4 linked regions of the Saccharomyces cerevisiae S288C genome follow. The protein of the gene in region 1 interacts with the protein of each later gene in a biochemical or structural test. Each region holds a gene or a part of one and is shown on either strand. Other genes may lie near its edges.

What was found.
Region 2: of the proteins of SSN3 (region 1) and GAL4, one has a biochemical effect on the other in vitro, tested with the Saccharomyces cerevisiae proteins (3 studies listed by BioGRID).
Region 3: of the proteins of SSN3 (region 1) and PHD1, one has a biochemical effect on the other in vitro, tested with the Saccharomyces cerevisiae proteins (one study listed by BioGRID).
Region 4: of the proteins of SSN3 (region 1) and GAL83, one has a biochemical effect on the other in vitro, tested with the Saccharomyces cerevisiae proteins (one study listed by BioGRID).

Annotation. Positions count from the first base shown.
Region 1 is NC_001148.4:472,502-476,290, forward strand, and holds SSN3 (cyclin-dependent serine/threonine protein kinase SSN3), read right to left. Parts: upstream 2,207-3,789; coding exon 539-2,206; downstream 1-538. Other genes in the region: MRX11 (Mrx11p), read right to left, coding at 2,617-3,240; isoleucine--tRNA ligase ISM1, read right to left, coding at 3,492-3,789. UniProt on the Saccharomyces cerevisiae protein: Component of the SRB8-11 complex. The SRB8-11 complex is a regulatory module of the Mediator complex which is itself involved in regulation of basal and activated RNA polymerase II-dependent transcription.
Region 2 is NC_001148.4:79,158-84,366, forward strand, and holds GAL4 (galactose-responsive transcription factor GAL4), read right to left. Parts: upstream 3,200-5,209; coding exon 554-3,199; downstream 1-553. Other genes in the region: GTPase-activating protein GYP5, read right to left, coding at 1-196; YPL247C (uncharacterized protein), read right to left, coding at 3,468-5,039. UniProt on the Saccharomyces cerevisiae protein: This protein is a positive regulator for the gene expression of the galactose-induced genes such as GAL1, GAL2, GAL7, GAL10, and MEL1 which code for the enzymes used to convert galactose to glucose.
Region 3 is NC_001143.9:355,033-358,364, forward strand, and holds PHD1 (Phd1p), read left to right. Parts: upstream 1-1,715; coding exon 1,716-2,816; downstream 2,817-3,332. Other genes in the region: DNA primase subunit PRI2, read left to right, coding at 1-47; MMO1 (Mmo1p), read left to right, coding at 1,290-1,610. UniProt on the Saccharomyces cerevisiae protein: Putative transcription factor that functions in pseudohyphal growth.
Region 4 is NC_001137.3:208,411-211,877, forward strand, and holds GAL83 (Gal83p), read right to left. Parts: upstream 1,823-3,467; coding exon 569-1,822; downstream 1-568. Other genes in the region: CHO1 (CDP-diacylglycerol-serine O-phosphatidyltransferase), read right to left, coding at 1-64; MIG3 (Mig3p), read right to left, coding at 2,282-3,466. UniProt on the Saccharomyces cerevisiae protein: Beta subunit of the SNF1 kinase complex, which is required for transcriptional, metabolic, and developmental adaptations in response to glucose limitation.

The sequences.
Region 1 (3,789 bases):
TAACTCTACTTTATACGTAGTTTAGACTTTGAACGGGATGAACTGGTTGTTTCATCCAATGTTTTCGTAAAGTCATTCTTTTTTATGGAAAATGTACAAAGTTGTTTATATTTTTTGCTATGGTTATTAACCTGAATACCATTAACAGATGTGTTATAATGGGAACATATTACTATTGCCGATAAGTTACGAACAAACCTACTACTACCATTATATAAAAATTAAGGGGGGTACTTGAAGTCTTTTCTTTCTTCTTTTTTGGGAATGCATGAGATATTCATATGTTTTAAAGCCCCATTAGTTGAGATGAATTATGACGAAATTCGCATACATCTGCGGAGAACAGGGTTTTAGCTCGACCTAAAATCAACCCATTATTTTACCTGAATGTTGCAGACTTGCATTCTTAGTGCCTCTAAAGCGAAAAATTGAAACTGTATGCCGATTTAAATACTATAAAGATAAAAAAAAGTTTAATGAATATAATAGTGACAGTGCTGTGGAATGAAAAATTCCAAATATATATAAAAATAGAAGCCTATCTTCTGTTTTTCTTTCGAGATGGCTCATCTGATGCATTGTTTCCTGACACCGCAGCAGCGGCTGCTGCTGCCGCGGCCAGAATTCTACGGTTAACACCAAGCCCACCTAACGCATTTGCAGCGGCACCTGCGGTGATTCCTGAAGCTTGTGTATTGTTTTTCGTTCTTGATCCAAGATTCATGATGTCATTATCGTTCGTGTGAATTCTTCTTGCCGGGTATTTGTAAGTTAGACCTTCAAATACATTTTCACTAACAGGAATATCACTTTCTGTGAAGTACTTATGTTCCAACGCATTAAATGCATCTATTCTTTTAATTGGATCATAATTTAACAAGTGGTAAAGTAAGCTTAAAGCATGCTTGTCCCTTCCTCCCGCGGAATGATACCATGTAGCAAGGTTATCCCTATACTTTGGAAACTTCGTAATTTGATCATATTCTGGATACTTCTCCAAATAAGGCCAAATTTTTTGATCGGGAGTGCCAAGAACTTCCAAAATTCTCTGTAGTTGATTCACTTGAAATGGAACAGTCTTTTTAGAGTCTAGTTTAGCTTCTTCACCTTTAAATATGGGCTGTAATCCTATCAGTTCTGCAAAAATGCAGCCAACGGACCATAAATCAACCGCAGGGGTATAGTGCCGTGCTCCCAATAGCAACTCAGGTGCACGGTACCATATAGTGACAACCACTTTATCCCCAGTATAGAGGGTTTGCAGCATATTATGAAATTTTCTGGCCAAACCTAAATCACCAATTTTAACACATCCATCTATGGTCACCATTATATTTGCGGGTTTCAAATCTCGATGAAGCACCCAATTTTGATGAAGATACGATACGCCGTCTAAAAGCTGCCACATAATAGACCGAACCATTCTTGGTGGTATCATCCTTTTTTCGGGATGGGAATGGAAGTGGATAATTTGTAGCAGATCATGCTCCGCATATTCGTATACCATATGGACACATTTCCTTTCCAAAAAAATTTCCACTAATGTGGTTAAATGCTTGTTGTGCAATTCTCGACATAATGCCATTTCTCTACAGGCACTCTGAGATATTCCCGTATAATGCAATTGTTCGACGCCATCCTTCTCTGTCTTGAACTTTTTAATGGCATAAAATACCGTCAGCGGTTTTTTAATGAGGGTTTGTTTTTGGGAATTATAGTGCGGGGATACATCTTCCCTCGTAGTTCGTATTCTTCCGGGGGTCACTCCTTCATCCTTTAACAAGTTTCTTCTTAATGCGTTTGTATTTGCCTGCATGTCCATTGAAGAGCTTGATTTTGGTTGCGTGCTGTCAAACTGCGGAATTTTCGCATTGGTACCATTCAGACTAGAACCATTAGCGGAATTGGTACCGGAGTTGATTTGTCTTTTCGCTTTGTAAACTTTACCATATGTGCCCGCAGCAATGTAGCCAATAACTTCGTACTTTTCTAAGACAGATACCCGCATTCTATCTTTTCTTGCCCTATAAGGTCCAATAGTAAAAACATCATTATTGGCCATTAGCATCGGGGCTTTTCCATGCACACTTCCGATTGTGTTTTTCTTTCCAACGAACGATTGAGCTTGCTGTTGTCCTTGTACCTGCATAGGCCTTTGGTACATTGGCTGATAGGAGTTTTGTGCTCTATCCTTGCCATTATACATTTCTCTCTCCTCCCGTCAAAACTAGGCGGCCTTAATTCAATTGGGAAGCAAAATTACTAACTTCAGTATACCCTTCCGCCTTTTTTCTTTCCTATAAACCTTTCTTGTATCCTTTTTGTCAGCAGTGATTGTGGGATAACTTTCAAGTATTGAAGCGGGAAAATGAAACGCAACTTAAGCCACACCACGTAATTCTTGAAGACTTTTGATGTATGATATTTATTTCACTGTTAAAAAAAGCTATAATTTCCTCTAATCAAAACTCTCTAAAACGAAATCAAAAATATTCGTAACACATATATAACGAAGTACAATATATTGGGAATCTATAAATCATATGCCGAGTGCGCAACTTCAACTGAAAACAATAATCCGTCTCTGGGCCAGAAAAAAAAAAGGAAAAAAAAGCTTTATTTCTTAATAAGGTGCTTTAATTTTTGAAAGGGAAGAAGCAACCATTTCCCAAAATATGGTGCTCCCCAGATACTAATGAAAATGCGTACCGGATATAGTAATTTTACTGTAACGTAGGCTACTGTGCCAGATAAAATCAACTTGTTTTTGTTGAGGCATTCCTGATATCTCTTACCAACAAATTTCTCCATAGCTGTATGACAGCTATCCATTAGGCCATTTAAGAAGTTTGGGAGCTTAAAATCATCAGAAAGATCGAGGTTATAAAGTAACCACCATAGTAGAAACAGTGGTAGTATGGCAGTTACCTCATGCAAGATGAAGAATGATGTAAGTGTTGGAACCGTGCCGGCCTCACTGAGGCGGTCGAAATAGTGTGAAAATTTAGGATTCTTGTTTAACCTTGTTAAAAGTCGTGACTTGGAAAATATTTTACGTAGTCTATCCTCCCTTCTTTTCACTGGATCTAAATTTCCCGATATGAATCTAATTTGGGTTGATCCGCCGGGCCTGGTGTTCATAAACGTGGTCAATTGCGTTGGCCTTTTAAGCATGAGCTCCAACGGTCCAGAGCCCATCTGCAGTTGACAGGGCCTGAAGAAAAGATTCATGACAGTCATGTTCCTGGTGAGGGTGCCTTGGGTGTAACACTTATCCTTACACGGTCTCTCAAAAGCAATATTTTTACATTTCTCTTCTTTGCTTCCTGTTCGTATAACGCGCTGAGAGCTGGTAAGAACAATAGGCCGAGGCCCTGCATCAAAATGTCAGTAGGGGACCTGTTAGGTACCCACTAATAAGTACAAGAGGGTTTTTATTTTCTAAGAGCCAATAATTGGCATTCTTTATATACAGGAAAGGTACATGTCATTCAAGACATGAGATGATCCACAGCTTCTTTACATCTGTCACACAATTTATCCTCTTCGGCTGAGTTGGCCTTCCAACATCTGGGACAGTTGTGCCTTTTGCTTCGTTCAACCAATATTTGAACGTTTATTCCGCTTCCCAATTCAATAGTTGGTAGACTGTTATTATTATCGTCCATTTGCAATATATCAACAGCAGATGATTGCAATATGTCGCAAAGCTCGTCAGAACTGAATGGGAGGTGATGCTTGGTGAAAATGGTAACGTGACTATGTGTTGTTTTGGTGACACCTTCTTCT
Region 2 (5,209 bases), 390 kb from region 1:
TTTGTTGCTTGTCATTTAGTTCTTTGTCCGAATGGAGGGGCTCAGTTGGAATTATAGCTATCTCTTCATATTGGTCTGATGGCGTTGATTTTATCTCTTCCTCCATTGAACCCAAATTATTCGAATGATTATCACCTTCGTGAACTTCAGAGGCGATCGTATCTGTATTTTTCTCAATAGATTTGTCTGAAGACATTGCTCTATTAACGTTCTACTTTACACTGGTGGTAGGAGCTGTTTTATTTTGAGTATTAACTAATCAATCTCAATTACGTTCGATCCAAACCCTTTTTTTTCGTTATATGAGCGAAGCTTCTGAATAAGCCCTCGTAATATATTTTCATGAAGAATTTAGGTCCAAAAAAAAGATGGGCATTAATTCTAGTCATTTAAAAAATTCTATAGATCAGAGGTTACATGGCCAAGATTGAAACTTAGAGGAGTATAGTTACATAAAAGAAGGCAAAACGATGTATAAATGAAAGAAATTGAGATGGTGCACGATGCACAGTTGAAGTGAACTTGCGGGGTTTTTCAGTATCTACGATTCATTTTACTCTTTTTTTGGGTTTGGTGGGGTATCTTCATCATCGAATAGATAGTTATATACATCATCCATTGTAGTGGTATTAAACATCCCTGTAGTGATTCCAAACGCGTTATACGCAGTTTGGTCCGTCCAACCAGGTGACAGTGGTTTTGAATTATTACCATCATCAATTTTACTAGCCGTGATTTCATTATTCATGAAGTTATCATGAACGTTAGAGGAGGCAATTGGTTGTGAAAGCGCTTGAGAATTTGTTTGAGTTGTTATGAGGTTCGGACCGTTGCTACTGTTAGTGAAAGTGAAGGACAATGAGCTATCAGCAATATTCCCACTTTGATTAAAATTGGCGCCACCAAACAAAGCAGACGGGGTCAGTGGCACTAATGATTGCAGCTGTTGCTGTTGCCCTAGAAAAGGCGTGACTGAGCGATGCGAAGGTGTGCTTCTTGGTATTGTCACTGGAGAGTTACGAGAGGGTGGACGGTTAGATAACAGCTTGACTAGATCACTGAAACTTGCTCCTGATTTCAATGGCACAGGTGAAGGCCCTACTGAGCCAGGAGAAACATATTTAACACTGATATTGTTGACATTTTCCTCCGGAAGAGTAGGGTATTGGGCGATAGTTGCAGAACCGACAATATTTTTAATGGCGCTACCATTACTATTGTTATAACTGATATGCGGTAATGGGATTGCACACTGTGATAACAGAAACGGCGCACATACCTCTTCCAGTACTTGAATGTATTTTTCACAAGTCTGGATTTTAAAAGTGGCCAGTTTTTTTAATAGCATCAGAACAGTGTTAATTTGTTGTAATAATTGTGCGGTCTCGTTATTCTCAGCATTCGATTTTGAGTTTGAGAGTAGAGTCTTTATGGGTACTAGGACTGCATTGAACAAGTAATAAGAACAATTCCAGGCAAAATATGGGGTGACATTATGATTGTCCATATAGCTACTTACAGACATAACAGTTCTTTGTGCTGCATCGCTTAACATGATGGAGCATCGTTTAACTTCATAACTTTGATGATCATTTTGATCCTGTTCTAGTTGTGACTTTTTCTGGGTAAAATTAGTGAAAAAATCTCTTAATACATAAATGATAAGAGACAACTGTTTCCACTTCAGTTCGAATCTTGTAAAGGATAGCCAAGGGTGTTCCTTCAACAAATTGGTTAGAGCGGTGGTGGAAATATCCATTTGTAAAAACTTTGGTGCCTGTCTCGAAACCTCCTCAATCTCATTACAAATCATCAAGCATTTTTTTGCACATATAGGACTTTTTTCTGCAGTTACTGTTTTGTCTAGTTCATAGATTTTTGTGAAAACTTGTAAGAGCCTTGCTGTTTCAATGATGCCATGATATATGGTGGGACCTGTTGTGGTACGCTGCACATCGTCGACAGAAGAAGGGAAGGAGATTGTATTCTGAGAAAGCTGGATGGATCGACCATAAAGCAGGGACAATTGGATCTCCCAAGAGTAGACAGACCACCAAATTCGGCGTCTTTGTTCCAGAATGCTGCTATCACTGAAGGACGAGGGGAGGTCCCTATTCAAGCCCAATGATATGGCCATTCTTATGGAAAAGCTGTGAAAATTATAGCTAGTATTTGTTTTCTGCCTCCACTGTGTATATCGCGACAGAAGATGTAGGGCTGTCACCAAAATTATGGAACCTGACTCGAAGACCTTGCTCGTCAAATGAGATTTAGCATTTTGATAGTAAAAAACATCTATATCAGTAGATTCCCCCTCTATACACCAGGCTCCAATGGCTAATATGCAGTTAAAAAGGATTTGCCATTGATCCTTCGACGCGATTTCAATCTGGTTATTATACAACATCATTAGCGTCGGTGAGTGCACGATAGGGCAGTAGGGGTGAAAATTATTGAGATAACTTTGAAGTAAACGGGATGTTGTGGATCTAGAAGCCAACGTGTATCTATCCGTAATCATGGTCGGGAGCCTGTTAACGTTAGAGTTCGTGTAATTTTCCGGTTTAAAGCCAATAGATCGAAGAATACATAAGAGAGAACCGTCGCCAAAGAACCCATTATTGTTGGGGTCCGTTTTCAGGAAGGGCAAGCCATCCGACATGTCATCCTCTTCAGACCAATCAAATCCATGAAGAGCATCCCTGGGCATAAAATCCAACGGAATTGTGGAGTTATCATGATGAGCTGCCGAGTCAATCGATACAGTCAACTGTCTTTGACCTTTGTTACTACTCTCTTCCGATGATGATGTCGCACTTATTCTATGCTGTCTCAATGTTAGAGGCATATCAGTCTCCACTGAAGCCAATCTATCTGTGACGGCATCTTTATTCACATTATCTTGTACAAATAATCCTGTTAACAATGCTTTTATATCCTGTAAAGAATCCATTTTCAAAATCATGTCAAGGTCTTCTCGAGGAAAAATCAGTAGAAATAGCTGTTCCAGTCTTTCTAGCCTTGATTCCACTTCTGTCAGATGTGCCCTAGTCAGCGGAGACCTTTTGGTTTTGGGAGAGTAGCGACACTCCCAGTTGTTCTTCAGACACTTGGCGCACTTCGGTTTTTCTTTGGAGCACTTGAGCTTTTTAAGTCGGCAAATATCGCATGCTTGTTCGATAGAAGACAGTAGCTTCATCTTTCAGGAGGCTTGCTTCTCTGTCCTCTCTTAAAATGATGGCGTGCATTACGTAGACACAATCTGGAGATGAAGCTGAAAATCTGGGGAAGGATGACGGAAAAAATAGCTCATAAAACAGAAAAAGGCCCGAAGTAACAATAGGAAAAATTAATTGCACTAAACAAAGAAAACGATATTATGGTGATTAAACTGATACAGAATTATGTAAATACTTTGAAATTATAGAAGGTTTGTAGAATAAAAAAAATACTGGGCGAATGCTGTCTCAAAGGACGCGGACGTTTTGAAACTTCTTGCCGCTCACGCACCCAAACCAATCGCCCCTCTGGGGCCTCCATGCAATGTTGTTTATCTCTTGTGTTTTATTGGCATACATCATGTTAGGAGTCTCTAGTGTCTTGCACACCTGCTTGCTGTTGTTGTTTAAACTTAAGGGATCCTCGTTTAAACCGGATCCTGCGCCACCGTCTGTCATCTCTGTGTCGCCGTCAGGGTCCTCCAAGGAAGTTCCATGAATACTGGGGGATTTGCTACCTGCAGCGTTAATTTCCATAAAGGAGCTGTTCAAGTCCCAATAGAGCACCTGGCAGTCATCTCCGCACGAGAGCAAAACATTGCGCTTTGTGGGATGCCATTTAATCCCGTTTACCGAAGAACCGTGGCCTTGTAAGTTTAGTATAGGGGATTCTGGGTTCCTCATATCTAGAATAATGATTTTGTTCGAGTCAGCTGCAAAAGTGGCCAACACATTTGGGTCATACGGTGATGGCTCCAGCCTCAATAAGGCGTCCGAACCTTTCGACGACGGTGTTATAGTACCCGCAGTGGCTCCAGACACTGAGGAAGAGGGAGGCTCGTAAATAATTGTACTGTGCGCAAGCGATCTTAAATCAAATACTCGTACACTACCGTCCCCACCACAACTAGCAAATAATTGGGTCGATTTTGTCAAAAACCTTACATCAAAAACTTCGCTGTCGTGAGCGATCAATTGGGTCTTAACGTAGTGACTGCTTTGCAGATCCCATACAATGCATGTGGTGTCGATGGAACTTGAGATTATCAAGTTAGTATCGACCGTGTTCCAGTCAAATGATGTTATTGGTGGGAAAGTGCCTATGACCTTCATGTCATCTGCGGCCGCGGGATTGGCGGGGTGCTGTCTATTGTATTTACACAGAGATAGATTTATTTGTTCTTGGAACTGTCTTTCCTCAGGGCTAACGCTCCAAATCCGTAAGGAGTCAGAACACGTCGCGAGTTTCCTTGGATACAATTGAGAGGGGACCCATTGGATTTTGCTCACAGGATAAACCACATCTGCGTCCACTACGCTTTCCCAGCTCAGTAGATCATTAGAGTGCAGAACCTGCAACTTATTTCTGCTGTCCTCTTTGTACGAACCCAAGCAGACGTAGTCGTCGGCGCTCCAATCGAGCCCAAAGAGTGGATAGTGTGATTGATATTCGCACACGGAGGCCATGGAAGGGTTCATCAGATTGCTTACAACCGGAATATTTGCAGCATAGCCCCTCGCCTGCTGTAACTGAGAATGATTTGGTGAAAAAACTGGTGGCGAGAAATCTAACGGTGAATACATCGGCGATCGACTTGCATAGTACGTGGCACTTAGGTCACAGCCACTATTCCTTTTGCTGTTACCGCCATTGGTAGTGTTGCCAGACATTCCAAAGGGAGATGGGCCTCTACCTTGATCTTGTGCCGCCGAGGAAGGCCCATTAGTACCACTCAAGTAATTGTTCTTGTTATATGGCTGCCGCTGCGATGAGCCAAACGATATTGAGCTCCTTTTATTGCCATTGTGAAAGGGATCCATTTGAAGGGCGTGTATTTGCTCCTATAATTCCTTTCCTTCTTGTTGTCTGTTGACCCTTTAGGTTGTATGCCACTCTCGAAAACCTAAAGAACTGATTACTAAATTATTTATACAAGATTTCAGATGACAAGATGGTTCACCCCTTGCCCCTGGTCTTCCTCCCAGTAATT
Region 3 (3,332 bases), on another chromosome or scaffold:
AGCAGAAGCTGGAAAAGGAAAAACTATTCAATAATGGTAATCATTAGTGCAGAAAGGGAAAAGGAAAAAAGCGAAGAGATAACTAAAAAGGATTAATAGTATACGTAATTTAGTCTACTGTAAGTATGGTCAAAAATTTTCTTTAGTGAGAAAAAAAAAAAAAAAGAGAAACGATAAACGCTGTACAATACCAGTGACTGCACTGCTCCGAAAACGTCCGAGATATGTATATTGTCCGAATTTTTTCATACTTTAATAGCTGGCCAGAGAAACCTTATAATTTTGTGGCTGCAAGCTATCGCGCTGTTCCTCTGTGACAGGCAACACAGAACAACTAACCGCCTGTCTTTTATGCCTGTACACTTCATTAAAATTTACCGTTTTCTTCCATTACAAGCGGGGACACTTTCCGTTTAAACCTGCAATATGTTGCAGGGCCTATCCACGCCAATTTACTGTGGCAGAAGTTACTGCAGTGGAAGAACTACCTTTTCCAGCATAGCCTCCGCCACCAAAAAATGCAGGTGCTGCGTTTTCTGGATACGTGGCTGGCCTTTAAAACGCATGGGAGGGACAGTATCTCACCGATTTGGTAATGCCGTGATGCAACCTCGAGGATCCGGTTTTCAAGAGCGGAAGTAAAAAACCGGGAAGATCTAATATTTCCTTATGCAGGTATTCTGTGACTAAAAAGTATAGAAGACTATTTTGCACCGCTCCCTGATTAGACTTCGTGCGATATTATTGATGGATATCGTCTTTATCTTTCCGTGGACCTAAAACGGCACCCCTTCGTCTAGGATAAACGCGGTCGGCTCTTTCGAAGACTAAAAAAGCAGCCACAATAACGTTACATGCAAAATCAGCCCACTCGAAGTTAGATACTGCGTAGACGGATTTGCACGATGCGATGATAAATATTAGGGACAGTGCGTGCCCACCCATAAGTTGCTGTAGAGCTTACAAATTGTAAAGACTAATTCCAATCGCACGCCCACCCCTCACGGGAATAAGTTAGAATGTTGCGGAATGAACGATAACTTCATATTAGGTAAAAGGGAAGAATGCAACGCTGCGGTCTACGGGCTTTTTTCTGCGAGACCAATTTTCTTCTTTTGTTTTTTTATTTCGATATTTAGTTTTCATGCAAACGGGTATTATTCTTGACAGGCCATTATGTAAGAGTGTGGAAACATAATTCTTGCACATACGACGTTTTCTTAACTGTTCCTGTTTCAAGTTACGGAAACGCCTGTGGCCCAGGTAGCGTAGGCAAAATCAAGCTCAGAATGGGTTACGTAATTATGACGTTTTCGAGTGCGAGGATGTCAGAAAGGAGAGCCAGAATTATATATATATGGATGCATCTCTCTGCATATAAAATTAATTTCCCTTTCGTACAGTTCCCTACTTTTTTTTCCCTCTTTCGTTTGCAAAAGAAGGCGGCCATACTCATTAAAAACCCCTCCCCATTTTTCCTTTTTTTTTTGTTTCCATATAGGAAGAACTCTACAGCTCGAACAATACATCAAATCAATCAAGCAGTCGCTCTCGTTCTATTGTGTGTTTCTCACCACCTTACATATCTCCCCTCAGTTCCCAGCCTATAACTTTGTGGTTCTCTTCTTTTCAACTTCTTCTTCTTGACATTATACTTTAATAAGACCATTACTTCTTTTTCTTTGCTGGAATTCATAATTCATTAAGCAGAAAATATGTACCATGTTCCTGAAATGAGGCTACATTACCCCCTGGTGAACACTCAATCTAACGCCGCAATAACACCCACCAGAAGTTACGACAATACCCTTCCTTCGTTTAACGAGCTATCACACCAGAGTACAATCAATCTTCCATTCGTCCAACGCGAAACTCCAAACGCATATGCTAATGTTGCCCAATTAGCTACGTCGCCAACTCAGGCTAAATCAGGGTATTATTGTCGCTATTATGCTGTGCCTTTTCCCACATATCCACAACAACCACAATCTCCATATCAACAAGCTGTACTTCCTTATGCCACCATTCCCAACAGCAATTTCCAACCATCTTCTTTCCCTGTGATGGCAGTGATGCCTCCAGAGGTTCAATTTGATGGATCATTCTTGAACACCTTACATCCTCACACAGAGTTGCCTCCAATCATTCAAAACACTAATGATACTAGCGTCGCACGTCCAAATAACCTTAAATCAATAGCAGCAGCGTCACCAACAGTGACAGCAACAACAAGAACACCTGGCGTCAGTTCAACGTCAGTTCTCAAACCACGCGTTATAACTACGATGTGGGAAGATGAGAATACTATCTGCTACCAAGTAGAGGCGAACGGTATATCAGTCGTGCGTAGGGCTGACAACAACATGATTAACGGCACCAAGTTGTTGAATGTCACGAAGATGACAAGGGGGAGAAGGGATGGAATATTAAGATCCGAGAAGGTTAGGGAAGTCGTGAAGATTGGCTCCATGCACCTCAAGGGTGTTTGGATTCCTTTCGAAAGGGCTTATATCCTGGCTCAACGTGAACAGATTCTAGATCATCTGTACCCGCTCTTCGTCAAAGATATAGAATCCATTGTTGATGCCAGAAAGCCCAGCAACAAGGCATCTTTGACCCCCAAATCTAGCCCTGCCCCCATCAAGCAAGAACCATCTGATAATAAACACGAAATTGCTACTGAAATTAAGCCGAAGAGTATTGATGCTTTATCGAATGGAGCATCTACTCAGGGTGCTGGCGAACTGCCCCACTTAAAAATCAACCATATCGATACTGAGGCCCAAACAAGTAGAGCAAAAAATGAATTATCATAAGCACATAACATAATCCGTTAACTCTTTGCTCTATGAACAAGAACCGAAGTTCTAGAAAGGCTGATAGGATTCGTACAATCATTTTTACGGTCGAACTTCTGTAGTTACTCGATATATAAATATAAATAACGGACATAAAAAAAAAAATTGTAACATTATAAATCATAAAATCATAATCATATCTATTTCTAACTTCTGACTATTGCGCAATTCGTTAGAGTCTTTCCACCACGTCGATTGGACAAATCTTTATCTGTCTACTTCTAATATACTGTACATCATACCTGTCTTTTTATGCTGCTATTGTGGAGGAACCGTCATCTTTTCGCGCGAAAAAACAATATGATGCCTTTTTGAAACATGTTATTATTTGATTTTTTAATGGCTTCTATTACGCGTCGTGGTTGGTGAACCTGGTACAAAATAAATAAAAAAACACCTGCTAAAAAATATCAAATAAAGTAAGGAAGGTAATACAAAAAGAGAGCGTTGGCTCGTGTTACACAAAAGCGGTTT
Region 4 (3,467 bases), on another chromosome or scaffold:
CGATAACGTCTGTGTCCGTGTGTGGGAATTCTTGAGGTGCGAAATCTTCATCTGATTCAACCATTTTTTAATATATAGTTTTATTTTTGTTTTTTGATTGAATCAAATAGACAACTAAAAATGACAATCACCCACAAAATGAAAAAAATAGGTGTATCTCTCTTTCCTTATTTATAATGTTTCCTATAAAATACGGATCTTCATCTTTAGATGGGTCCATGTGAAAGCTCAAAGGCGTGAGGGTGCCGTGTGAACGTTCAAAGTGATTTTGACCAATTACTGATATATATTCAGTGTCTGGCACAGAAGTCTGCACACATTGAGAAGGAGTGGGGATTGATGTTAGGGATATCTTCTATAATGCTACTAATTTATATATACATCCCGTAACAATTATGTGCATATACGTACGTACGTACGTATATACGTATATACATTCCAACCCATATATACAAATACTTACATGTAGACCTTGATATTTAGTATCATGGAGAGCTATAATGGAAAAATCGCAGAAACATCTTCGCTTTTATCTAAAAAGATGTAGCTATAAGCTCTATAATCATATCTATTGCAATGGTGTATACAGTATTTGGGTCACGTATTTTTGTTTATACCTAACAATGGATGCGACACATAATGTATTATGCTTAATACTGCTTGTCGCCAGATGGTTCAATATAACATGGTTCGGAATGGGAAGGGCGCCAGACGTATTATCAGTTTGCGCGTTTGAGTAACTATTCAAAATGACGTTTTCTAAATGAGGTGGCAGTTGTGGAGGAGTCAACCAGGCCATATTTTGGTGATTATTTTGCTGCTGATCAAGTGTCAAATAATATTGTTCCATTACATTTGGGTCGGTGAACACAGCAGGTATATCTTGAGTGTACTCTAAATTAGGTTTAGCGGGGGTCTCATCGTGAAAACGAGTGTAACCATCGCCCATGTCATCTGGTTCCTTTTCTATCTCCAATGCGATTCTCGAGCGAGCGCTCATAGGTCTCTTACTCAATTTGCTATCATCTACATGATTCGCTTTTTTTTCAGCCAGATGCTGCTGAGGTTCATTGCCCCAATCAGGCGGTGCGCTCACTTCCATATAGTTGACGAAGTTTCCCATTTGGTCGGTTGCGGTAGGTAAATAATCACTGAATCTTAACTCATTGTCAACAATAAATCTGAAACGATGAGTACCTGGAGGCAGCTGTAATTTTACATGCATAAGTCCAGGCTGTCCAGGGACTGGTACTAACCCGATCATCTTTCTCCATCCCGTAAAAGACCCAGTAACGTACACTTTATTACCCCCCTGTTGCCAAGTGATGTCAACTGGAAACATCATAGCTCTTCCTTTCTTGCCTTCCACAGTGCCCTGTTGCTGTTCTTGTTGCTGTTGAAAGCCTTGATTTTGAAGTGAGTCAGGCTGCTGAGATGGTTGATAATCCATTTTTTGCAAGGTATTTCCTGTCATATCTGCATCGTGGATATCGCCTTCGTTGCTGTCGATACTACTCGAGCTGCTAGCATCGATATCATCATCAGAATCAAAGGTCTCCCCAGAACCATTTTCCGCATGGTTTGAATATGGAGGTATTTCATCGTCATCATCGTCGTTAAAAATTAAACTCGATTTATGTCTTAAAGGATGCTGAGGCTCTAATTCATTAGGATTATCTACGTTCATTTGAGAAAAAGTGTACGCCAGGGAAGCCTCATTAGTTGAATCGGCGCTATGTTTACCATTAATCGTAGTGTTGCTAGCTGCGTCACTGACATCTAACATGGAAGCATCCTTGTTTTCAGGGTTGTCGCCAGCCATATTTCAGTGTAGATAATTTATTATTGTGCAGGAAACGACCTTATACAAAATATAGTAGCTCTTATCTAGGATGCTCTCTACTTGCGATTACAACAGTGGCCCAAATCCTACGAGATCGGTATTGTTTTCTTTGCCACGTTTTTTCGTGAGCTTTTCCAAAGGGGAGCAAATTGGTCGCTTAAGGATGAAAATTAGTGCAACAAAAAAAATAGCGTGGCCTGTGTTTTAACGGTAAAGACAAATTATTGAAGGTAGAGCAGGACTTTGAACCGGTCCGGATGAAGACCACTGGACCATGTTTCAGTCTCACATGGGTTTTTTGAAGCACAGCTTTTAAATTTGCAATGATTTTCTCCAAAGGTTTTCTTTGCGTCTTCATTCCAGGAAAAAGTATATCAAGTTTCAAGAACCCATTGTTATTTTCCTTCTTATATTCTATACGTTTTATTTACTGCTTGTTTATTTACTGAAGTAAGAAGGAGCACTGTTGAAATTATCAATTTGTCGCAAAATGCTCTTTATCGGAGGCAATGATACATTGGGACTTGTGTTGGATGCTCTTGATTCTTGGCGGTGAACGTTACTGTCCTCATCATCTCCAGATATATGAAATTGTGCCCTTTCATGTTGTCTCCCTCTGCTAACAGCATTAACCTTGTACTTATGATTGCTCCTGCAAGCTTTCTGTGTTACAGGTGGCCTATCAAAAAATATTCCCATGCCCATGTCTTTAGCCGCGGTGTCATCATACGTAACAGAAGTGAGTGATGATGAACTGCTCGAAACGGATACTGTCCTTGAAATTTCCATGTCTCCTGTGTTTACAGAAGGCATGATTCTTCGCAGAGGACTTAAGTCTGTTGGCGGTCTTGAAAAGCTCTTTGATGGATGTGAAGTTTGAGAAAGAAGCGAAGCACTGGATTGGTTTTTAGAACTACTCAAAGAATCAGGACCACTCATGGCGGCCAAATTCCTCCTAGATTTCGAAAATATAGAGGAGTTTGAAGACAATTCACCCAGGGCTAAAGAACTTCCGGACGAATGTACATACGGTGTAGATGCAGGATCTTCAGGAAACCCGCTTTTCAGGTACTGGAATGGAGAAGTAGAGGGATATACTGATGCAATGGAGGTGATAGAAGTAGTGGAGAGGCTACTTGGAATCGGATGAGGGTCATTTGGAATATTTATCACAGGCACTAAAATTGCAGGTGCCTGTGTCTCCACAATGCCATTATTATTTCCAGTATTTCGTATATTCACGTCATCGCAATTCTGAGCAACGGAGATAAGAATAGGTGGCACTTTAGATTGACCTATCCCCGTGAGCGAAACACCAGTGTTTTCATTGAAGGTGGTAGGGGCGGCGGTAGCAGTATTCACAACGGTTTTTCGCGAGCCCTTGGATTTTATTCTGCGCCTTTGGACGCCTTTAGTATGTGTCCTCAAATGTCTTTTTAGTTCATCGCTTCGGCTGAAGCTTTTCGGACAGCCCTGAACGGTACATTTGTGAGGCTTCTCGCCAGTGTGCGTTCTTCCGTGCCTTTTTTTATGTTCAAGTCTGTGGAAACCTCGTGAACAAATTTCACATCTAAAGGGTCTTTGGTCATTATCCGGAGGAAATCTATCTCGCAGGTAATTCATA